Linked DNA regions of Arabidopsis thaliana. The protein of the gene in region 1 interacts with the protein of each later gene in a pairwise test. Each region holds a gene or a part of one and is shown on either strand. Other genes may lie near its edges. The genes, in order: CHR11, PTM, HB-1 and AT1G18950.

Region 1 (7,572 bases):
AAAATGCAACCGTTGAACAAAGAAGTAATAAATTGTGGAAAAAATCGTCTGTTCATATATCCCTCAGAAACTCATAACTTTTGCTTAAGCTTCAGCCTAAGTTGCCATCCAATGGCCTCAAATCCTTTTGTTCAGTTTCTTTACGGAAGAGAAGTCTACAAAATTATAATTAAGTCATTTCATTAAATCCAAGTCAAACCAGGACAAACATTCATGAAAGCAGAATGAAATCCATTTGCTATGTTTTTAACATTAGCTTAACTATATGTAACAACAAAGACTCGACAGATCCGTAAACACATAATCTCATCTCATCGACAGGTGCTTCCGCTTCTTCGTCGATGAAGGACTCTCACTTGCTTGTCTTCCTAAAGGTCGCTTTGATGGTGTTGCACTCTTCAAAGATTAAAAACCAGAAAAGCATTAACCACCTAAAGAAATCAAATCAAAAGAATACAACCTTATACATGAAAATATTGCATTATTTTACCTTCGCGAGCTTCTTCTCTTTGCGGGCTTGCCTCTCTCTTTCATCAAACTCCTGGTTCTCTTTCTCGATCAGTCGAATCAGAGTGTCGCATCTTCTTGCAAGTTCCTGACTCGTGCGGGATTTCACAAACCAGTCAAACCTGAACACAGACGATGTCCTAAATGCTGCCTTTAGCTCATCCCAATTCCCATAACCAAGTTTGTGAATCATGCAGATCTGTTTTTCACCACCAAAGTTCCTCAACAGTCAAAAACTTCATGATATAATTAATGAGACAGAACAGCAAAAAGGGAAACGAGAAAAAGACATACCATGAAACGGTCACACTCTTCATTGTACAGCTTGCCTTTGTTCTGACCATATTGAATCTTCAGTTCCAGCCAAGGGTTTCTGTAGCGATCCAGTTTCTTCCCTATGGCCTTCATGATTTCGTCTTTCCTAGAGATCCTTGCCTCTCCCCTCTCAATGTTCTTAATGATTCTATCATAGTCTACATATTTAGAGGGAAAGATGATAAACTTACTTAGCATAAGCTCTTTTTGGAGGTAGGAATTACTTAGAAACATGTAAAAACACTGCATAACTTAGCATTGAAAGGTGTTACTTACCGTTCAGCTCCTTGTACCGCTCTTTAAATACTTTGGCATATCTTTCAACTTCTTCCTCTGTTTTCCCTTCCATCTCAGAGGCAATGCTTTTTATGTCGTTGCGGCCATACTTCTCACAAGCCCTGAGGAAAGTATTAAAATCTCTTCTGCTCCATGTTGAGAAACCCTGGAGATTGACAATTACAAAAAATTAATTAAAGCCTACCAAATCAAATGTCTAAGACCACTCTAACATCAAACATATTCACTTGCCTCCTCCAATAATCCCTCCTTTTCTTCTACTTCTTCAGTAGTTAAGGGATCCCCACCTTCTAACAAAAAAATTCTTAATCAGTAATAGGTTTGCTGAAAAACATGTTAACAAAGTGGGTACATGTTAACAAAGTGGGTACAAGCTTGACCTTCTGGTTCTTCAACATCAATTGTGTCTTTCAACTGATTTTTCTGATGTGTTTGCTGAAACCAAAAAGCACAAAAAGAAGCAAGTTGCTTTTATAAGGCAAAAAAACTCGCTCTTAAGCACATCAAAGGAATCAAGTGTTTCGTTTTGAGAGAGGCCTACCATGAGATAACGTACTTCCTTTTCATACAACTCGGTCAATCTCTGAATGTTAAAGAACTGGAAATCGTGCCTGAAAGAGGGACAATAAATTAGATTTCTAGTGTAAGAAAATCATCAAAACAGGGAAAAGGCATTCAACAATGAGATGGAGGTTGTTGAGGTACTCACAACTGGGGCATGCGCGGAATTCTAGGCTCTTTAGGTTTAGCTGGAGCACCTTGCCGCAATGTTTGCTTAAAGTACTCAGATTCAGAGTAGCTGAAGATACAGTAGATAAAACAAAAGGGATGTTTCTTTTAGATATGAAGACTGGCAAAATAGGACTGCACAATGTATAAGACAGAAGTAATCATTACTTGCGCTTTCTCTCCCGCTTGGGGGGATCATTCCAATTGTCGCTTACAATCTTTTTAAAATCGAGCTTGTTTTCATCCTATGAACAAATTTACAAATATATTAGTAAATTTTATCATCAGTAATGCAGAGCAAAGCTAGGGATATGACATGAAAGTTAAGACTATGCAAAGAAATATACAAGTTACCTTATTGTCATCATCAAAATCATAGAAGTCAGCACCTACAACAAATAAAACAACAGATTATCAAAACATTACAATATTCACACAACCTAATAGGGGAAATAGTAGGTAAGTGACACCCTTACTGTCATCCATTTTAAACTGTATAGCATCTTCTGTGAATTTCTTCATCTTAGCATCAAGTTCAGCTGTTGCCTCTTCTCCTTTGGCAATGATTCTATCAATATCCTCGTCTGTGATTGTGCTATCTTTAGAACTGAACACCATCTCAGCACCATATCTTACCATTTGAAGCAACTCATCCTTATTGACAGCTGCATAGTTAAGATAAATACCAATTCTGTCAGAGATGAACCAATGCATAAAGCAATCACTGTATAACGCACTTACTTTTCTGTTCTGCCAATCTCCCTTGTTGAATAACCAGAGCATCAAGTGCTAACTTCTTGTAAGCTCTTTCAATCACTTTCTCCTCAATAGCAGACTGTAAACAAACAACACATAATTAATTTTAAACCTCTCATGGCTGTTTTAACTTGAAATTCACGGAGAGGAGACCAACCTCAGTGCAGAATCGAAACACTTGAACTTCTTTTTTTTGACCAATCCTATGGGCACGATCCTGAGCTTGCAAGTCGACTTGTGGGTTCCTGCCAGAATATGCCAGACTCGTCAAACGTGAAGAGAAAGTTCATAAACTACAGTGGACAATGATGAGAGACTTACCAATCACTATCGTAAAGGATCACAACATCTGCAGTAGCAAGATTGATACCAAGCCCTCCAGCTCTAGTAGATAACAAGAAAACAAATTTCTCACTTCCTGGCTTGTTGTAGGCTTCTATGGAGGCATCTCGTTCGTCACCACCAGTGTTTCCATCAATACGGCAATACAAGTAACCACGATACATTAAATAGTCCTCAAGAATATCCAAAAGTCTTGTCATCTGACATGTGGAAAGAAAAGAATAAGGCTCAGACTTTACATAGACAAAGGAAAAAGAGAAGATGAACTGTAAGAAACCATTATATCCAGCTGTTCTGTATTAGCGTTTACCTGAGAAAATATCAGCACCCTTGAATCACGTTCTTTCAACTTAGGAAGCAATTTATCCAAGAGAACCATCTTACCTAAAATAACAATATAGAGATGCTTCATAAAAAACTTCCACAGAAATCTGAAGGATCTAGTTTATTTCTAGCCTTACCAGCATTTGTTATAAGGTGATCTCCTGTGGTATATGGGGGACCAGGTTCTGCACCCTGGAAGAGATAGGGGTGATTGCAGCATTTACGCAGTTGCATTGCAATGTTTAGCAGACGTTTGCGTTCTCCACCAGCATTAACCGCTTCAAGATCCTTCTGCAGTAAAGCCTTGTAGTATTGCTTTTGCATCTGAGACATACCAACTTTAAGTATGGTCTCCTTCTTCGGTGGCAAACCTTTCTCAACATCTGACTTTAGTCTTCGAAGAAGAAATGGTCGAAGAACCTAAAAAGATACATGAAAGCAATTAACCTACGACTCACACAGAACAGAATAAACTCAATGCAAGGAATGGGTGCATCCATACCTTGTGCAGTTGTTGCACAACTTCTTGCTGGTCATTCTCACCAGAAATTTGAAACCATTCATCAAAAGTCTCTGCTGAACTAAAAATCTCAGGCAGAAGAAAATTTAGAAGAGCCCACAGTTCATGGAGATTATTCTGCATATATGAGGACAATATGAGTACAGCAGGCTACACAGTCATTATACGGTAAATATTAAAAGTGCCCGGAAAAGCAAAAGTTAAGAGTGCAAACAGAGCCGTACAAGAAAGGTTGTTTCAACATTCAATTAGAAGCAACTTAACAAAGAAAACTTCAATGTCCAAATATTCAAGAATAAGATAGAGCAAACACCTGAAGGGGGGTCCCCGTGATAAGAAGCCGATAATTGGTGCTAAAAAGTCTCATGGTTTTAGAAAGGAGTGAATTCTCGTTCTTGATTCGATGCGCTTCATCAATGATAATATAACGCCAGCTAAACCGACGAAGTGCTGTCTTCTCTTTGATGGCCATCTCAAAGCTTGTGACACAAATATCAAATTTCCCAGCAACTAGCAGGTCTTCTCGAATATGTCTCTGCATCAGTTAGCAGACATTTCAGAATCCTGGGATAAACGTTTACATGAAATTCTGAAATGGCAGACAGCTCATGACTTACCCTCTCCTCAGGATTACCAAGGAACTTCACAGCACGTAGGACAGGACAAAACCGGCGAATTTCGTTCATCCAATTACCAAGTGTTGATTTTGGAGCAACCACCATATGGGGACCATTGATTCCCCTGTATTCATGAAGATATGCCAACAAAGAAATCGTTTGAAGCGTCTTCCCCAGACCCTAGACCACAGGGAAAAAAAAGTTTCATGATTAGCATGACAGAATATAGAGAACTTATTCTGCTTGGATCGTTGGGGGAGAATTATTTACCATTTCATCAGCAAGAATTCCATTTATGCCATTCTCATAAAGACGAATGAGCCAGTTCAAACCAGCTAATTGGTAATCTCTCATCTTCCCTTGAATACCTGTCGATTGAGAAGAAAAATAGATGAATCTCAAGCTTTCCCAGTAATTTACGCTATACTACATACTAACTGTGAGGTCACAAAAATATGTATGGTTACGCAAATGGACGGAGATGTCAATCATATTGTACTTGTTGCTCGAGACTAGAGAGACGATTAATATACAGTAATCCTAGACTAAAGAGCAAAATACAGGTACTTACAAGAGGGCTGTGTGAGTAACCGTGTGTTTCCAGATCCAGTTAAGCCATCCTCTTCTTCCTTTAGATACTCTTCGTCTTCCTCCTCTTCAGTTATTTTGGAAGCATGACGTCCCCTGAAGGTAGAAGTTAAAACCACATAAATCAGGGCCTGGCTCATCATATTTACTCTGAAGCTAGAAGCAATGATGAACCGATATTTTAGGAAAAAATTGCATCTAACACACCTTCCTTTTGCCTTCTTCTGAGAAGAAGATCCATCACTTTTAGCAAAGTGGGCAAATAACTCAGTTTGCTGCAGAAGATACTTCAGTCTCCCTTTTCCCTTATTGTTCTAAAACACATGGAATGATTCAGAATCGTCAGAACTTAAAAGCACGAGAACGAAAAGTAGCTAAAAACCTGAAATATATAGTTCAAACAACGCACCATATCCGCGTCAATGGAAGCATTCTGCGACTCCAGCATCTCTTGAATCTTCTGCTTCTTCAACTTCTGCATCTCTTTAAGTCTGGCTTTCTCACGTTTGCTGATTTCAGCTTTTTCCTCATCTTCTTCGTCCTGCTTATACCACAATGAGCCACCATGCGCAGACATTCAATGAACTTTCACTCAACAAAAATTCGACTAAAACTAACAAACGAAGGAAGACGCGAACGCCGAATCCATTGCATTAAATGAAATTTCAACTTTCCAAGTACAAAAAAGATGCAGTTCACTGAGATTTCAAAAATCACAGCCATCAAAACGAAATTAGCCTGCAGCTACCTCGTAATCATCTTCTACGGGAGCAGCCTCTCCGTCGGAGACTGGTGATTCGTCGGCGGCGGCTACTTCGTCATCGTCGGAGCCAGAAGAACGAGCAACAGCCTCGAGCTCCTCCTCATCTTCTTCTTCATTATCCTTAACCCGCTCTTCTTCCTCCTCTGACGAGAAAGCCTCATCGGAATTCGAATTTCTCGCCATGGAAGCTACGAAATCTGCTTTCGCCTTGAGATCGAGGGTTCGCTTCGCTTGTGAGAAAGTAAAATAAAGATTTTAAAAAAAAAGTGAAACTTTAGATACAAATTGCAAAACGACCGAAGCTTCAGGGTAATTTGTAACCGTTGATTAAGCTGAATAAATATATGGCTACGATGTAACTAGTCGCTTCATCGAACGGGGAATTAGTAATTAATTACCCGCCACCTGAGCAAGAGAGTTGTTTTGGAACATTCGCGATTTGGGCTTTGTTTAATCATAGTTGGGCCTGACTGACCCATAAGACCCACTTTCAAGCCCGATATTTTCCCCAACTTATTACTATGCTGGAGCTGCTCGAGAAAGATTCTCCAGTTACACTATTTTTAATCTTTGTGATTGATCATCGCCCCCAATTTGTTAAAGCTATCTCTAATTTTATATATTTGGATTTACTAAAACCAGTTAGGTATTATTAAGATATGAAATAAAAATCATGATGAGTTCATATATATTATTACTGTTAGGTCTGACTTTTTTTGTGTTGTTCTCAGACTTGTGCAGTCACTCTGTATTGGTATCAAGAGATAAAGTTTGGTGATTTTGCTAAGACAAAACTACTCTATTTCGACTGGATTAGTATCTGAAATAGCTTTATCCATGTTAAAACATTATAATATGTTTGAGAAGTGCTGAAGTGGTCATGCTACTGGGACATTTGTTTCTTGCAGTTTAATGTTTTTACATAAAATAAGATATCCATTTACATGATTTGCAGCCACAAGCAGAAAGCAAAGTGATACCTAAGAGCATGTATAAAATTACCTTTTTCATGCAGATGATTGGTTAACCACTCCTACTGTTCTTTACTCTCCTTTTTTGTATTTTGTTTTTGATTACCGTCGCCCAATTTCCTCACCAACCTTCCCGGGGTTGGCCTAACACATTCCCATTGTATATATCTACATTATCCATAACTTATACCTATAGAAATATATTAATTTTTCTATTAATCAAAAATAGATATGCATGCAAAATTTGTTGTAACAAACATTATATGTTAACGTTGAAATAAAACTACAACATCTAGTGAATTTTCCAAAAACTATTTCGAAATTTTAAACAATGAAAAATGCAAGCTAGAAATTAAATGAATTGATATTCATGTTCCTGTATATATACATTAGTGAATAGTGTAAATAAATATAAATTTGTTTCTTGGCGTGTGGGTAATAACTACAACTCATCACCGGGACTATCTATATATATATACTCACAAATAATCTCATGTAGCGGCCAACTTCATAACTCACAGTCCAAACTTAACCACAACCTAATCCACAAAAGAGTTATAGAATCATCTGATGGCGTCTACTGAGAACCCTGACCCTGAAACTGGCAAATCTGAACCGATTCCCGCGTCGGCTACACCACCACCCTCATCAGCCGCCAGTTTCCTAGATTGTCGTAAAATAGACATTATAACAAGAGTTCTGCTTTTCTCCGCCACTCTGACTGCTCTTATAGTAATGGTGACTAGCGACCAGACAGAGATGACTCAGCTCCCTGGAGTTTCGTCTCCGGCTCCTGTCTCCGCCGAGTTCAATGACTCGCCCGCTTTCATGTTTGTCTCTTTA
Region 2 (4,729 bases), on another chromosome or scaffold:
AGCTGCATTTAACATGCATCCTCTCCTGCTTGCAGATGTGAGTCGGCAAGAATGACACCAACCACATCTTTCTCTGGTAATCTCCTTCTTATCAGGACTTGGCCAGAAGAAACGGGGGGCTACTAATGAAAAAGCTTTCATCTGCTCTAAGATGTTACTTGATGCAGCTTTCTTGGCACTATTATACTTGCGAAGGTCAGGTTCATGGGTTTCCTCTGACGATAGGACAGCCAAACTGGCAGCAGCAGATACAGCCAATTCTCCATTTGTGTAATGATTATTGTATGTGTTGGGTTTAAACGATAAACCCAGGTAGGTAACACGAGCAGCCAATTTTTTCCCCTGTATTCCACATGAACCTCCTGTAACAGCACTGTTGGTATTACCCAAAGTAGATGTAGGGAGGTCAAACACAGTCTGGGTATGACTTCTATTGGAAATATTTGCACTATCTGACTTAGTGATCTCTGAAACCTTGCCATCCTCTCTATCCTTTGCTTGAGTTAAACCAATCTCCCCTTCCCTCAAGGAGATACCTTCAGGAAGATCCCAGTATTGGGTGATCGCTTTGCAAATCTCTACATATTCTAGTGTATGGCTTGATGCAGATATAAGCACTAGTACAACTTTTGATATGTCATTAACATTGTAGTACTTGACAACTGCATCTCCATTGACAGATATGTTAAGCCTGTGATTTAAGAGAAAAGAAGGAGAATGCTCATCAGTGTCACAACAAGCAAATTCAAATGTTCCAGAGTAATGCTGGCTAAAACCTGTTAGCAACTATTTGCCTAGGAAGTAATGAATCTTAAACTATGTAGCAGGGGAATAGATTGAAAGATCAGGTTGCTAATTCCAACAAATGCAAAACAAATTATGTATGAATGGAGGCAACGAAAACATACACCAGTAAGTGATTGCAAGTACCCAAGAAGAGTCGCCCATGTGGATCCATTCCAAACTGTACAGCTCCTCTAAGTGAGGTTCCATGAGCAATCTTCGGCCCCTTTTTGTTAATAGTGCACTCTGGACAAAACCATGGCCCATCTGGTATATACATTTTGACCACACCAATGCATCTTGAGTGGTATGCTAAAGGACATCCATCACAACAAAGCAAGGTTCCATCCATTCCACAAATCCTACATTCATCACTGTTTCCATCTAGATCTGAGCTAACTTCATTTGAACCGCCATTAGTACATCTTGAGTCCAAATCTTTAGACTCGTTTGTTGAGCTATCAGTAACCTCTTTTTCCTTGTAAGCTGAGGTTTTAGCGAATCTGGGGTGGACCCGTCTAGGTACATTTTCAAGAAGACCTGTGGCAACTCTATCAGGATCAAATCCAATTTCAGATTCTTCGCGAGCATCTATTTCATCTCTTAGATCAGCTACATCAAAGATGTCATCACAGAGAATTTGTAGAATCTTCAATTTCATCCCAATGGGTAACGAGTAGTATTCTATTTCCACAACAAATTTGTTAAAAATGTTCCACTGAGGCCCACTAGCATGCCCCATCGCAGTAAAGTACTGAACCAAATAAACAGGCCAAGTTAGCACATCGAGCAAGCTCCAATCAATGCACCTGCAGATAGCAAAGCAACAAAATCTGTGAAGTCCTCTCAGCTAAAGAGGTAAAGCATCCTAAAATAAGCTCTTTCGACCATTTTCACTGGCAGAAGACAAATTTTGCATTAACTAGAATTCATGTAGTTCAGAAACCTAACCCAATGACCAAATCTGCTAGTTCGTAATATGATTTATACACTATGAAACCAGAAAAGGCTCAAGAAATGAGAACATATGCTGTGAACATCCGGAAAGCAAAACAGAAACTTCCAAAATAAAATTTATCTGCACTTACCTCAAGCATTTTGAGGCTAGGACAGACTTGGAGGAGGAAAGTCTCTCTAGATGACCCTTCAATGCCCGCAACAAGGCCACATGAACAGCATCCAACAAAGAATTTGGTCCCGAGAAATACAACGCTCCCACAAAATCATTGAGTTCAAATGGGCAGATATAAAGCTGAAAACTAAATGACCTTAAGAACCCATATACAGATAAGAGATGTGCCACAGCCTCCTCTGGGATACCAATTGTCCCTGATGAAGGAGGTAAATCCACTGGTGGAACAAGAGGAGCCTCAATTTCAAGATCTGAACCTCTCTTATCTCCACTCTCAGACGACTCTGAGTCACTATATGAATCACCATCTTCGGAGTTCGTAACTGCTCGTGCCTGCACTCCATTTACTTGATTTGGCAACTCAACTGCTTTGTTCTCCGGCGAATTTCGTTTCTTTTTCTCCTCCTTCTTCAGTATAAGTTTATCTAATTTCTTCCTTCTAACACGTAACTCATCGTCTAAGTAACTATCCGAAATAATTAAACGACGAAGATCACCACTCTCCAATTCCTCACAATCACCATCCTCATATATCACTCTATATAACCCAGTATCATAAGACACTATCTTCCCTAGAAAAACTTCATTGTCATCAAAATCTTTCAGCATATAACAACCAAGTAAAGATATCGGCACTGCAGGCTCAACCTCCAGAACTTGCTTTTTCCCTCGATTGTTCAATTTTCGATTATCATCCTCTAATCTCTGACGTTTCCTCGGTCTTCCCCTAGGTCTAGGAACCTTCGCTTCCATCAAAACAACCTTTGGGGGAATTTCATACTCTATGGCCAAAATCTCTTTGGGAGCAGTAAGTTTCTCCACTACCTAGATTCATCAAAATCTCATTGTTTCATCGAAACCCATAAGCCCTAGATTCATCAATAATCAAAAGGTTTAAAACCCAATTCACATGGAACAACAGCGAATCGAGATCTGTAAAGGAGAAGACTTAAAATCACCTGATCAAGGTTTCTTGAAGAGAAGAAGGGAAAACTCAGGAAGAAAGAAGACAAAATTCAACAACGAAGGATTTGGGAATTGGACAAGGACATAAGAGAGAGAAGACGAAGAAGAAGAAGAAGGAGAGTGCTTTTTCCTTTAAGCCTGCGTGCAGCTGTGGCTGTGGTTCTTCTCCCTACAGCTTTTCCCTTTAAGCCTGCGTGCTTTTTCTGGTCTTGGCCTGTTTGGGCCTTGTACTTGTTTTTTATTTTCAGTTGGACATGTGTGCCTTCATGGCAGTATGTTGCCTTAAACGCTTGGGCCTGCGTGTCTTTTTGGGCCTTTGGGCCTTGTAACTTTGTTTTCTTTTCGGGAAATTTAAGAATTACCTTCCAGAATTCTGTATACTAATTATTACAATAATGTTGAACTGTCAAGACGTCAGTAAATTAAATAAGAAAAACAAAAATCATTGAGATTGATCATTAAGTAGATATAACTAGATATATTATTTTAAGACTATTATGTAGTAATAAATATTTTTTTGTCATCTTATTTTAGTTAGAATTCAAAAAAATTAAATCTAAAAAACCAAATTATTTGTTTTGATATTATGTAGTAATAATTTGTATAGATTAACAAAAAAAACTTAGGACGATTTCCGAAATACCGGAATATTGTTATAAATATTGCTTTTCTCATTCTAATCGAATATTTTTCAGCTTTGTTGGTTTGTTTTCTCTCGGTTATCTGAATCTAATAAAATTCCGATTTACTTCTTTGCTAAGATCAATTCTCTCTATTTCTACAATATCTCACTTGGAATTTCGCTTGCCATAGTTGATCTTCCCGTCCCACTGTTGGCTTAACTCCAATCTTGAGCTAAAATAATATATTTGTTAATTATTATGATGAGGACCTCAACTAGGTCTTAGGCGTAGCTTTTGCTAGAATCATGGTTAAGATGATGAAGGATTGACGATATCTTCTTGCAGTTTCTTCGAGACGGAAATAGTGGAAGTCAATCGAATTTGCAACAACGAACTTTGTAGAAGGAGTTCGGTGGTGGATTTGTGAAGCCAGCGGCAGAGTTTGCACCGAATCGTGGATCTTGGGCGGTACCGACTATATCTCTCTCTCCTTCTCGCGTATCAACATGTGTTGTTGATGCGGCATCTTAGTTTCTTAATCTAATCAAATTAAAGAGTTTTTAACTGTAATCAAGGTTGTAAATGTTGGAGTTTGGACTTCTCTTTTCATCACTTGTATAGCCCGTTGGGCTCAATATCAATAAAAACGTTGGATGACAAAAAAATAAAAAATCAATATAGATTAATAAAATAGCGACTGACTTTTTAAACCCAAAAAATACTGCAGACGAGAAAAATAGTATAATTTTAAATTTATTAGATAGTTTTAGGACATGTTATTTTAAAAAATCTTATGAGTTTTCATCATTGGTTTAAGTATTTATCTAATTATTATAAATAATATCTCCAATATTTTAAAATATTTGAAAATTTAAATAGTTTTGCTAAACATATATATAGTATGATTTTATGGTTCATATATTAATTAACTTTTAGATATACTATTTATCTAAAAAATATGTTTTTGGTCCGCCATTATATAGTAAAATTATAAGATTATGGAGACGAGACAAGATCAGATAGCCGAGCTCTAAGATTACAAGACTGGTTTGCACTTAGCTCAAACTCTCAAAGAATACGAGAAAGGTTCTTAAAGGAAGTGTAAAAGACCAAAATTAAACTTTCTAATTCTATATGCAGTAAAATGTTCCAATATCAAAAACTCTTTGAATTTGTTGGAAAGTTCTCTTATACTAGTCCCACCGGCCAATTCGGTCAATGATCT
Region 3 (4,598 bases), on another chromosome or scaffold:
TAAGCTTAAAATTTCAGAGAGGAAAAACACTAAAATAAATTACCAAAAATTATTGATTGTAAAGCCTAAAAACTAAGTAGACCGTTAGGCCGTGATTACCAAATCCACTACTAACTAAATCTGAGAGACCATACCTCTATACACCTCAAGATTCTGCAATGTGTCGTGATCAAGCTGTAATACTGAGGGTAATCCTTTGCTAATAGCAGCCAATTCCATTAGTTCTAGCTGCTCATCTTCAATAAGATCCATAGACTCCTTGGCAATTCTACGTGCAGTTGCCTTCTCAATGGCAAGCTTGCGTCTAATAGCGTCTTTCTCTCGACGAATCTCGTCTTTTTGCTTCTTTTTCTCAGCCTTTAACATGTCAACAAAAAGATAATTTTCACTCTCTGAACTCTTGCCACAAAAGTTGCTCAATCTCAGCAGGATTAACAAAAAAATACCAAAGAATAACAACTGGGCAGAGTTTTCCAAACTTACCCTTTCATTTTCTCTCTGTAAGAATTTTTCTCTTCTTTCTACTTCACGACGCTGCTCACGCTGTAACCTTTCCTCTTCTTTTATTCTTTCACGCATCAACCTCTCTTCTTCCTTACGCCTCTCACGCTCGTTCCTTTCCATCTCTTTTCTCATGCGTTCTTCATTCTGAGGACACAAGCATCAACTCATCAATATATCTGTTACAGTGATACTAACAAAAGACAATAAGACACCTTTCCAAATAATCAGTAAGGAGGATAATAAATGTAGAGCAAATACCTTTTTCCTCTGAATTTCTAGCTTCTCAAGATCTTTTGGTCCATGATTCTCTCGGGTTTCACTCCCTCTTCCAAGTCTACCATCGTTAATCTGTGAGAGTAAACATAGAAAAATGACATTACAACAAAGACACATCTTGTCAACAAAAACGGATGAAATAAAAGTTGGTACAATGAAGCTACCTTTCCCTTTCTATGCACATCACTACTCTTACGCACTCCATCAGGTAACAAATATGGATCTTCTGTACCAAGGACTGATGAGTCCTTCTCCAGCAGGAATCTATCACCATGATGCGCTGATTCAATGGGGCTTGGCATGTCTTGTTGAGATGTCGAACAGTTACGAGACGCATGTCCAGGGGTAACATAGGACCTTGGTACAGGTCCATTCGCGTGCATAAATGATGAAATTCTAGAACGTGCAACTTCATAGTCCATACCACGTGCATGATTTTCAGAGTATCGTTCATACATATTAGGTGTAAAAGAAGACGGATCATCCAGAGATTGTTGCTCATGGAAAGAACGGGCAGCAGCATGAGACTATAATCAACAAAAGCAAATATGTTAAGCAAAGTAGTAAAAAGAAAATATTATAAAACTGTGAATACATGAATGGACAAGAAAGAGAATAGAAACAGCAGAGCGGAATTCATCTTTCTAACAATGATCAGAGACTAAAAACTGCCATAAGACTAATGTCAGCCTTCATGTAATGAGAACTCTAAAAATTACTCCTACCATATAATTCATAGACCATCAGTTTATGGTAACCTCTTCAACTAGTCAATTTGAGATATCTAGGTGCATTATAAAGAAACTAAATAGAGCATATCTGTTTAGTCAGAAAACTAACTCTTCGAGGTCGGGGATCATGTCGCTCATACAGATCGCTCTCATAGGGATGAAGTAGGTGTTTCTGCATCGCTGAAATGCCAATGAAAACAAAGTTAGAGAGTTACTTATCACAAGAAGTGTAATACTAACACTGACATTGGTTACACAAGTCATAAAACAGGGCAAACATAGAAAGTAATGTATACCTATAGGTGTTCCAAACGCACCAGGAGGCAAAGGATCAAACTCCATGCCAAGAATAGGTCCATCATCTCTCAATGGCTCACCTAACTGAGCCTCAATACAGACAATAGCTCTATGCACCATTGTCGACAACCGCGACTCATAACTCGGCTTTCCCATTGTCTCATATTCATCCAATTCAGCTCGAGAACTACTACTACCACTAGCAAAATTCCTCCTAGAGTTGGAATAAGGACTGCAACCAGACTCAGAACCCGAATCAGATCTGGAATCTTGCTCAGGTACCGATCCAGCAGCAGCCGGTAACTCGTTAACCGAAGCCGATTGAACCGCAGCAACCGATGATTTCACCGGTTTATTAGACTGACCATCCTTCTTGTCCTTTAACCGTCTATGACAAAACCACATCTGTAATTGTCGATCTGACAAATCCAATTTCTCAGATAACTCAGCCCTCGTCGCCTCCGACGGATACTTCTCCTCTGAATCAAAAATTCAACATCAATACTTAAAAAAACAAAGAGAACGAAGATTGAATCAAATTAATTGAGATGAATAAGAACCTGAATAAACTTTCTCCAAGGTTTCAAGCTGAAACGGAGTTTTCATCTGACGTTTAGGCTTGACACGACCATCCTTAGAGGAGGAATTATTATCAATCTTCTTCTTCTTATTATTAAGATTAGCATCACCAACGACGCTCCTGATCTTCTGATCTTCACCGTCAGAACCCATCTCCATGGAAAGAGAAGAAGAAGAAGAAACCCAGAAACGGCCGCAAGAAGAATCAAAGAACACAAAAACAAAAACTAGGGCTTTCTATTGAACAAACAAACCCTGATCCAAAAACGTAAAAAAATAAAAATAAAAAGAAGTAGAATATATAAGAGTAAGAATAAGAAGAAGAGGAAGAACAAACAATAATAATAGTAAAATCGATAAAAACCAAAAAGGAAGAAAAACAACAACAGGGCTTCTAGTAGTAGTAGTAGTAGTACCACTCATCTCAATTTCAACCTCCTTCATATTCCTTTCTTTTTTTTTGCCTTTCTTCTTAATTAAAATCTTGTTTTTTTTTGTTGTAAATGAAAAGAAAAAAAAAATCGAAACTTGAGGATTCTACAGCGAATCGCGTGCTTATGTGTGTTTCTGCCGTTGATGTGTTTATCAAAGCTTTTTTTCTTTTTATTATATAAATCAAGTTAATTTAAAACTAAATTAATACAACAACTCTTGAAGGGCTTTAACGTGCTTTTGGTCTCGTGTTCGTGTTGTTGTCTTTCAGATCCGCAGGCTGGTTGCATGATTATCATATCCCCCAGATTTTTTTTTTGAGGAACCACTTGTGTTGAGAGTAAACATCTTGCCCTTTATTGTTTTCAAGTGTACAGTCCTTGTCGTTTTTAAAACCGGTTCAATACTTCAATTCAGATTTTTTAATCCCGGTTTACTCGCCGTCCCTATGAATCACAGAGGAATCGAAAGAACCTTTACGAGGAAGCTTTGACTCGAAATCTCTCTGAAGAAGAAGAGGAGAGACGAAACTGTTGGCTTAGTTTCCGACGCCGGGAACGTCGGAACTCCGGTGAACAGAGAATGGGGCTGCATTTGGCTGCTCTGTTTTTCATCATTTCACCACTCTTCGTTTTCTCCTCTCAAGTCCAGCAGCAGATCGGTTCTAATCAGAACTTGATCAATGATCTGGACTCAGCTAAGCTCAGAATATCTCAATTGGGTAAAGTTTGTTTCTTTTTGTTCGTGGTGGTTTTGGGTTGAACCACCAAGGCTTCTCTTTTTTCTTTTTCTTTTTGCTAATTGTATTGTTTTGTTTGCTGGGAATCGATTGGCTCTGATCGTGTAGAAGCTGTTCTTGAGGCGACAATACAGAAGTTGGATGGTAAGACCCTTTACTTGAAAGAGCGTGAGAAGTTGATCCAAGTTGCTGAAACTCAGATCCTTGATTTGCAGTCTGCTTCATACATTGACAAGGTTGGTTTGGTTCTCTAAGGAGAATGTATTGAACATTTAGTTATGTTAAGTAGAATTAGCTAAAAGGCTTTAAAAATTTCCTCTGCTGATGAGGGAATGAATGTGGTAGGACACTCATTAGATCGTATGTGCTAGTCTGAGGCTCTCCTATGATACCCCCTTTCTGAATAATGTTTACTTGAGAAAACTCAATGCCCTATTGAGCTTAATCATTATAGTTGTAGCTGCCACTTCTGTATAGTTGCCACACCTTTGTTGTAGGATGTCTAAGTATTGGTGATACGAAAACTTGCCTGGTTGTATGATAAGTACTCGGCTCGTAATGTTTTATCCCTCTTCTAGTTGTATTTGAATCAGTTTATAAACCCTTAGAAGATTGTACTGAGTTTGATTATGTTGCTGCTCTTGAAGTAGGGTCTTTGTTTCTTCTGTTTGGAGCTAGTTTCTTATCTGAAATGTATATTGTGCCATCACTTTATCATGGTAGTTGCATTGCTAACACTTGTTATTTGATCTCAGAGCGGCTTACCTTTGGTTCAAAAGAGGATAAGCGAGTTAGAAGAAGAGGTCTGTTCAGTCATGTGGCTATTCTATTCTTTAGACTAGTTCTCAAAATGTTTTTTTCTATTGGTTTATTTCCCAAATTGTGTTCTGCCAATGCTGGAGCTACTTATTCTTCAACTCCACTAATCTAAAGAACAGGGTTGGCAATGGTAGGTGAAACTTCTATGGGCTGCCTTGAGAACAACCAACTTCGAGCTACACGTTTTAGAGGATAAAGCAAGAGAAGCTAAGAATAAACTT
Region 4 (7,904 bases), on another chromosome or scaffold:
GCTGACTATGGTGGCACTGCTGTTGGCATTATGAAGGTAATAAAAGACTCAAGCTTTATGAAATTTTATTTGCTTAGTGTTGATATCTTGTTACTGCTACTTCTCTGGGACCTTAAGACTGATTCTGATAAATCAGATAAATCCTCTGTTTTGGGTTCTGTTTTGCAAATTATGTCTTCGCTTTCGTTCTTTGCAGGGTTTTGTTGGACTAAGCGGAGCAATGTTAATTCAGCTGTATGAAGTCGTATGTCCTGGAGATCCAAAGACTTTTATTCTTCTACTTGCAATTGTACCTTCACTTCTCTCTGTTTTGGTGATGCCTCTAGTCAGGGTATACAAGACAAGCACAGTGGATGAGAAGAAACATTTGGATGGTTTATCAACTTTGTCACTTATCATTGCAGCTTACCTTATGATTACTATTATTCTGAAGAGCACTTTAAGTTTACCATCATGGGCCAATGCTGTCACACTTGCAGTTCTACTTGTTCTGCTTTCATCGCCTCTACTAGTTGCGGTAAGAGCACACCGGGACAGTATCGAGAAACCGTTGTCATCTGTTTATTCTCCTTTGGTAGATAATCTGGAAGCAACAACCTCTGGAGAGATTTTGATGCTAGATGAAGACAAAAGCTTGAATCTTTTACAAGCTATGTGTAATGTAGACTTTTGGTTGTTGTTTCTTGCAATGATATGTGGAATGGGATCCGGGATTTCGACGATAAATAACATCAGACAAATAGGTGAGTCTCTTCGATACACTAGCGTTGAGATAAACTCATTGTTGGCTTTATGGAATATATGGAACTTTATTGGTCGGTTTGGAGGTGGTTATGTCTCGGATTGGTTGCTGCACAGAAAAGGATGGCCACGTCCGTTGCTAATGGCTACAACTCTTGGAACTATGACCATAGGTCATCTAATCATAGCCTCTGGTTTTCAAGGAAATCTTTACCCCGGTTCGATTATCGTAGGCATTTGTTATGGCTCACAATGGTCGTTAATGCCAACAATTACATCAGAACTATTTGGAGTTAAGCACATGGGAACAATCTACAACACCATTTCAATTGCTAGTCCTATGGGTTCATATATCTTCTCTGTAAGATTGATTGGATATATCTATGATCGCACCATTATCGGAGAAGGTAACACGTGTTACGGTCCTCATTGTTTCCGATTGGCATATGTGGTAATTGCATCTGTGGCTTTCCTCGGATTTCTTGTCTCATGTGTGTTGGTTTTTCGGACAAAGACGATATATCGACAGATCTTTGAGAAGATATTGCATCGTCGATAAAGAGTTGTGACTTGTGAATATCATGTACACAATGTTGTACAGTGCCATTTGTGTTTTGTATTTACATGCGATTGTTCAAATTTATTATTGATTGAAAAATCTAAACTGTGTAATAAAATACAACTACATAACATATACTTGTAAGAAGAGGTTCTTTGTTTTTTGGAGAAGTTTATTTGTAATTTAGTCCATGGAATATAGTTGTGTGACATAAATGAAGTAATTAATGTAAGAACCAAAGTTAGATTTTTTTACCTCCTTGGTCTGATTGAGAAGTATTAATGATGAGGTTTGCTATTTAGAGATACTTTACTTGAGATGGTTCCTTTTAATGGGTTACTTCAATAGTCATGTTGATACACTACATCTAGTTATGTTTCTCAAATCAATATTTTCATAAAATTATCTTTGTAATATTTTTAAAATGCTGTAGTAATTTTTTTAAAAAATCTAACACTATTATAAAAAACCAATAAAGTGCTTTTACTAGTTCTATAAAAATTAATAAAGTTTTTTTTGTTGGGTTAATAAAAAAAAGAAGAAGAAAAAAAAACACAAAAAATCTCTCTCGAGCCCTAATAAAACTGTGAGCCCCTCTATTTTCTCAGACCCTCGTGTTTCACTCTCGCTTAACGAGTCGTTTCCTTTCCTCTGATCAATTCTCTCAGAGAGACCTATTTGACATTTATTTACCATCTCAATCTTCTTTTTCCTCAGATTTTCTTCTTCATCTCTCTCACACAAACCCCAAAAACGACAGCGTTTTCAAAACCCAAACACCAGTCGACGCTTTTGGACCTTCCTTTCTTCCTCCTTGTCTCTCTCTGATTAACCGATTTCGATTTCCCCACAATGCCAAAAGGGTTTTGATTCTCTCTTCCTAAAAATCTCAAATTTACACCCAGAAAAAAACCCTAATTTCGATCTTTAATCTCTACGCTCTCTAATGGGTTCCTCCTCCGATATCGTCCCTGACCGATCTCCAGCTGACGATGTAGCTCCGGTTACAGATACCAAAATTCCAAAGGAGGAGCCTTTGACGCTTAGGAGAACGCGTCCTTCTCGGGCTTGTACTGTTAGGGCTCAGCAGCGGCTTCAAGAGCTTCAAGCGGCGGAGAGAAAGCTTAAGCCGCCTAAGAAGGAGTATAAACGAGAGCAGCATCGACGGAGAGAAGAGGTGGTGGAGGAAGATGAGGATTCGGAGGATGACGATCAAGAGGATGAAGAGAACGACGGAGATGATGAGAGTAATCCGAAGCAATGCGTTGCTGGAGGAAGTTCTACTAAAATCATTACTTCTCTTGTTCCGCCACCGGAACCTTCACAGATGCCGCGGTGGAATCTTCGTTCTATGTGGGAACTTGCTTCTGTGCTCAATTTCTTGCATGTGAGCTCTCTGTTAACTTCAATTGTGTTTCGTCTTCTGGTTCTTAGCTGCCAATGAGTAACTAACTCTCAAAGTTCGTTTTTTTGTTTCTTTTTCTGGATGGTGATGAAGGTATTTAGACCGCTTTTGAAAATCAATGCGGAGTTTTCAGCGGAGGAGTTTGAAACGGCTTTGCTTACTCCAAACGATACTTTAAGTGATATTCACATTCCTCTGCTAAAGGTTGGTGCTTTGGTCATCCATTGTTGTGTTTATTCCTACTCATTTAGTGTACTTCTCGTCTCTTATTGATTGTTTCCTAATTCTTGTTGGTTTCCTTTGGTTTCTGTTTGTATTAACTTCAATGTACTACTAGAGGTTGTCTCATTGACATGAAAATAACATGTTTAGGTGCTCTAGACCTGAGTGTTGGCTCTTATTAGTACTACAACTAGTGATAAGACATTTTTTGGCGTACTGAATGGTTCTAGAATAGAAAATTGCCGTTTTGAGTGAGAAGATTCTGTTAAAGTTTAGATATTATATAGAATCCTGGGTGCTGTACCCAGTGAGAAATAGAAGGGGACCTGGTAATGTGTTAGTATCCTATATGTTAACTGCAATTTGCTTGCAAAGTGATGTCACCTCTACTTCATATAAATTTGCTTCTCTTTGAATCCTGGGTGCATCTTCTTCTGCACTTCAAATTAAATATTCCAAGGGGTATGACTAATTTTTTTGGTAAGCCCCTTTGTAATGCGACTTGGGTAGACTACAACCAACTTGTTCAACGATATCTTGAGCTTACTAAGTCTTTCTCAGTTCGGATGAAAGGGACTCTTAGTTTCAAATCATTTTGGCTGAGCGGCTGGTTGACCAAGATATAGCATCTATGTTTTTGGCTAGCTTTCCTCGTAGGCACCTTATAGGCTTGTACTGCCCAGTATAGATCACTAGTTTTTCTGGAACATCTTCATGAGTTCTTTTAGAGTTCCCTGATTAAAGTCCTTGATCATTGTCATGATATCATGATTTTTGTTGTTGTTTGTGCGTATTTATAATTGCCATTTTTCTCTAAAGTGCTGCAGTTACTTTTGGTTTATGTTGATACTAATCAATCATGATTTGGAATCAAATATATTCTTCACTACTATGAGATGTTCAAATTGCTTAATAATTTCTCTCTGTGAGCAATATTCAATTTTCTTCCTTTCAAATTGCAGGCCATTCCGCCTGTAACTCGAATGGCTCTCACCCGTGATACCTGGGTAACTGTCCTGTGCAGAAAAATAAGAGATTGCTGGCATTGGGTAATGATTGCTTAACTTCGTTGTCCTGATAAATCAAGTACTTTTTGCATTATATCATCTTCTGACATGATCTTCACCTACTCATTTAGGTTGCAGAAGGGGACCTTCCTATTGTTGCCTTGCAAGGGTTAGTTGTCATAATTTTCCTGAATATCATGGTAACGGATTAGTGATCCATTTATGAGCTTCTCTTCTTAACCTTGTAGGCGGGAGATTGAAGTTTACAAAAATCTTGATCCAGCCATCCGTGTGGTGATTTTAAAAGCGTTATGTGATATTCGTGTTGAGGTATTGTTGCTACTGTATGACGATCTATTATCCAAATCTTGATACCATCTGTATTGTTTTATCCTCTAAAACTTTTTGTTATTTGTGAAACGCACTAGAGTTGAAACTGAATTTTCATTATGTTGTATATCTGTATTGATGTATATAGGGTACCATGTATATATGTTTACAGTTTATGATGTCCATTATTAAGCTCTGGAGCTTTCTGATGCGATGCTAATGACTGACTTGAAACAAAGTGGTTTTAACACTTATAGTTTTGATTGGTTTTGTGTATTTCTTACAGCAAGAGGATATCAGGAGCTACATTGACAACTCTCTTAAAACTGGCGTTCACCTGTCAGTTTTTCGCAAAGATCGTGTTGGGGGTGATTCACATGGAGTTAATTTTTGGTATGGAGCAAAGAAAAAAGACCTAAAGGACTCCTTTGTTTGCATATATCTGATATTACCTGTTTGTTTCTTATGTAAGGTATGAGGAAGATCCCTTAATTGGTCACCGTTTATATCGGGAAATAAGGAAAGCAGAGGTGTTGAAGGTCAAAACAAAGGGTTCCAAGATTCTTCCTAACATAACATACCAATGGGAAACTGTTGCCACTAATTTCGATGAATTCCAAGATGTTTCTGTAAGTCTCTTTACAATCAATGATTTTGAATTACCAGATAAATTGCTTAGGATACTTCTATATGCTGTCTGTTTAGTGAGTCTGTAATTAATTCTTGCTATGGAATATGGTTAGATAGCATGCAGGCTAGTGTTAACCATGCACTCGAATATTAATCTTCTTTAATGGATTATACTCTATAGGTTGAGAAAAATATATGTGGAGAATCAGTTATTTTCAGAGAATTTTTACTCAAAGAATGGTGCATACGATTGCTTGTAAATTATCCTTGATATCTTTAGTTATTGTGAGTGAATCATATTAAAATGTTAGCACTGCTAAGAACTGGCTTAAAAGGGCTCATATGCAATAGTTGGATGTTAATGGGTTAGAGTATGTTGTTTGTGTTAGTGAGTCCAGTGTCTTTTTCTCGAGAGATGTCCTTTCTTGTTGCAGTTGATCATAGGGTTTAACAAGGTGAACACAAACAATTTTATACTGTGGATCTGTTTCAATGCTTTAGTACCTCCTTTTGCGGTTTCCCGAGGGAGATCCTATATACTATTCTGTCGAAACTTATGTTTCGGACTGAACTTCTTTACTTTTAACTGTCAATTTCTGTGAAGGACTAAACTAAACAATAGGTATAACTTTCCATGTCTTTACTACTGATTTGAGATGCTCTGTCTCTTTGTTTTTCAGGAAAAACTTCTTCAGAGTAGTAGTAGAATTGAAGTTTCTCTAGGGAAGAAGTTAGTAAAAGATATGCTTCCTGAGATAGAAAAAGAACACAAGGTTCCAATCTGCTCTATACTTTTCTATTTTTTTTTTGTTTTTTTTTTCTGTTTTTCATGGCTGAAAATTCTCTTCAACTGCATATTTTCATAATGGAATTTTTTCCACTGTCAGAGGAAAGAAAAATTGTTGAAAAAGCAACACAGACAGGCTCTTCTCCTTGATAACTTTGTGGTTGTTGATGGTCTTGCTGGGCGATCTCTCCGTGATAGGAAGCCAGTTAGATACACTTTTGGTAATGTTATGACCTTGTTGGAAATTCATGCCCGTGGTTCTTCCTTTTTGGCATTTTTTCCTATTTAAATCCATCTAAATCTCTACTGGACTGAAGTATTACTAATTTCAAAAGTTATTGCAGATGATTATGATAAGTCCATAAATGATGCTATCAAGATAACAAAGTACGTCTGAGTCTCCCTTGCATTGAATCATCTCTGTTGGTTTTCTCTAACATTGTTATTGGATGACTATCTTCTATTGTCTCTTACATTCTGTTTGTTTTCGTGATACTATCTCAGGAAGAAACATCCATCACCAGAACATCCTCTCCACAGAAGAGAATCTGCCAGGTTGGACGCTCTTGCGAATGGCAGATCGACCAGTTCAACCCACCCTACTGAGCCTGTGAACGATACAGCATCTGGGAGATCTTCTGATTTTGCTGATTATGATGATTTCGATGAGCATAGAGATGAATCTTTGGACAGAAGGCAAGATACAGTGTATTTTTCTTCTCTCCTTAAATCTCCCCTCTGGAACTATGCAAACCTTTAGCTTAATTAACAAGTATAATGTTGTGGCAGTAACAGGCGCAGACAACGACCTCAACGATATTCAGCTACGGACTTTGTTGAAACTGTTTCAGACAATGAGGTAGAATTTCAAAGTGACGATGACATTTATGGGGAAGCAGTTTATGATGAAGAATATCTGAAGAAGCGTAAACAGAAAAAGCTCTCTAGCGGTTCTGAGGGAGATGAAGAAAAGGGAGATGAAGAATACAAATGGGATGAAGACAATGCTGAGTATGAGGAAGAAGAAGAAGAGGAAGAAGAAGAAGATTCCCTAAGTGCAAGCGAAGAGGATAGTGATGAACCCCGGAGGGCTAAGAAAATGCCACGGAGAGAAACTAAGTTAAGATCAAGATCAAATGATTTTCGGCCAGGCCTGAGACGAAGTAAAAGAGCCACGCGAATTGATTACCAACAATATGAGTTCTCAGACTCGGACAAAGAAGCAACAGGACTGGCAAAACGTAAGCGGTTTGTTGAGCCGGACGAACCTTCTGATGAAACAGGGAATGGGGATTTCACAATGGGAAGTCAGGACTCTGAAGAAAATGCAAACGACCCAGAAACAAAATCTGGTGAAGAAGAAGAGCCGAGAGATGTCAATGACAATGCAGATACAACAAATGGAAAAGAGAATAACCAACTTAACAAATCAAACGGCACAACAGACCAAGAAGAAGTTGAGGGTGTAGTAGGCAAAAGGCGTTACCTCGACTTAAACGAGCTGGCCCCGGTATCTGGTTTTGATGATGGCCCAAGTACAGTATTGAAGGATGATGATAAGACAGACAATTCATAAGCAAGAAAGAGAGTTTGCCTTCATAAAGCTCCCTCTGGTCGATCACCATTGTATGATAAGCAAGATTTTCACGAGTTATTTCTGGCAACATCCCCTTGCAGAGAAAAGTTGAAACGGTAAGAGACACTCCATTGGCTTTTTCTTCATTCAAGCATATCTGCCTTCTTGTTGTTTTAAAGTAATTCAGGCAAATTCGGCTGATAAGTGAAGAGGAGAATGTTATGGAGGCCGAAGAGGTATGTGTAGATTAGGTTAGTCATTTTTTCTTACCATGAAGAAAGAAACAATGAAGAGGGTGAACCAGATATTCCTAAGAGCTGTTTAATGTTTTATGGAATTATTATTAGTGTACAAGTAACTTTCTCTAACTTTTTTGTATTTTGATCATAAGAACAAGTTCAAGGTCTCTTAGATTTTGGTTAAACGACGCAGCTTTGAGACTGCTGAATGTGATTATGGTACCATGGAGCAAATCTTTCTAATGGCTGTGAAACAAACTATTGTTGCTTTATCCCAGGTCATATTGTGAGCTTCAAAGCTCATGAAACTACATACCTTCAAATTAATAACTTGGATTTTAGATATATATAGGCTATATATATATGTACATAAATGGTTATTAATTTGATCAAAACTACAATTTACTA

The links.
Region 2: the proteins of CHR11 (region 1) and PTM interact in a two-hybrid assay, tested with the Arabidopsis thaliana proteins (one study listed by BioGRID).
Region 3: the proteins of CHR11 (region 1) and HB-1 interact in a two-hybrid assay, tested with the Arabidopsis thaliana proteins (2 studies listed by BioGRID).
Region 4: the proteins of CHR11 (region 1) and AT1G18950 interact in a two-hybrid assay, tested with the Arabidopsis thaliana proteins (one study listed by BioGRID).

What each region holds. Positions count from the first base shown.
Region 1 is NC_003074.8:1,939,435-1,947,006, reverse strand, and holds CHR11 (chromatin-remodeling protein 11), read right to left. Parts: upstream 6,035-7,572; 5' UTR 5,942-6,034; coding exon 5,744-5,941; intron 5,537-5,743; coding exon 5,405-5,536; intron 5,310-5,404; coding exon 5,203-5,309; intron 5,092-5,202; coding exon 4,979-5,091; intron 4,776-4,978; coding exon 4,678-4,775; intron 4,588-4,677; coding exon 4,408-4,587; intron 4,326-4,407; coding exon 4,104-4,325; intron 3,908-4,103; coding exon 3,773-3,907; intron 3,691-3,772; coding exon 3,408-3,690; intron 3,331-3,407; coding exon 3,257-3,330; intron 3,147-3,256; coding exon 2,926-3,146; intron 2,850-2,925; coding exon 2,762-2,849; intron 2,684-2,761; coding exon 2,590-2,683; intron 2,514-2,589; coding exon 2,319-2,513; intron 2,238-2,318; coding exon 2,203-2,237; intron 2,094-2,202; coding exon 2,017-2,093; intron 1,919-2,016; coding exon 1,829-1,918; intron 1,731-1,828; coding exon 1,661-1,730; intron 1,555-1,660; coding exon 1,500-1,554; intron 1,410-1,499; and 12 more. Other genes in the region: AT3G06390 (Uncharacterized protein family (UPF0497)), read left to right, coding at 7,300-7,559. UniProt on the Arabidopsis thaliana protein: Possesses intrinsic ATP-dependent nucleosome-remodeling activity. Constitutes the catalytic subunit of several complexes capable of forming ordered nucleosome arrays on chromatin. Involved in the formation of nucleosome distribution patterns.
Region 2 is NC_003076.8:13,479,571-13,484,299, forward strand, and holds the start of PTM (PHD type transcription factor with transmembrane domain protein (PTM)), read right to left. Parts: upstream 3,022-4,729; 5' UTR 2,875-3,021; intron 2,785-2,874; 5' UTR 2,669-2,784; coding exon 1,872-2,668; intron 1,593-1,871; coding exon 909-1,592; intron 692-908; coding exon 1-691. UniProt on the Arabidopsis thaliana protein: Membrane-bound transcription factor required for the plastid-to-nucleus retrograde signaling. Functions in multiple retrograde pathways.
Region 3 is NC_003070.9:9,977,884-9,982,481, reverse strand, and holds the start of HB-1 (homeobox-1), read right to left. Parts: upstream 3,005-4,598; 5' UTR 2,547-3,004; coding exon 2,369-2,546; intron 2,288-2,368; coding exon 1,808-2,287; intron 1,692-1,807; coding exon 1,621-1,691; intron 1,308-1,620; coding exon 945-1,307; intron 853-944; coding exon 763-852; intron 649-762; coding exon 484-648; intron 358-483; coding exon 135-357; intron 1-134. Other genes in the region: AT1G28410 (myosin heavy chain-like protein), read left to right, coding at 3,402-3,540, 3,667-3,794, 4,314-4,361, 4,512-4,598. UniProt on the Arabidopsis thaliana protein: Transcriptional regulator required for the maintenance of the plant vegetative phase.
Region 4 is NC_003070.9:6,544,293-6,552,196, forward strand, and holds AT1G18950 (DDT domain superfamily), read left to right. Parts: upstream 1-1,884; 5' UTR 1,885-2,246; coding exon 2,247-2,687; intron 2,688-2,798; coding exon 2,799-2,909; intron 2,910-3,889; coding exon 3,890-3,976; intron 3,977-4,065; coding exon 4,066-4,103; intron 4,104-4,182; coding exon 4,183-4,264; intron 4,265-4,550; coding exon 4,551-4,657; intron 4,658-4,736; coding exon 4,737-4,893; intron 4,894-5,574; coding exon 5,575-5,667; intron 5,668-5,781; coding exon 5,782-5,902; intron 5,903-6,025; coding exon 6,026-6,068; intron 6,069-6,185; coding exon 6,186-6,389; intron 6,390-6,470; coding exon 6,471-7,257; 3' UTR 7,258-7,816; downstream 7,817-7,904. Other genes in the region: AT1G18940 (Nodulin-like / Major Facilitator Superfamily protein), read left to right, coding at 1-36, 197-1,300. UniProt on the Arabidopsis thaliana protein: Probable transcription regulator.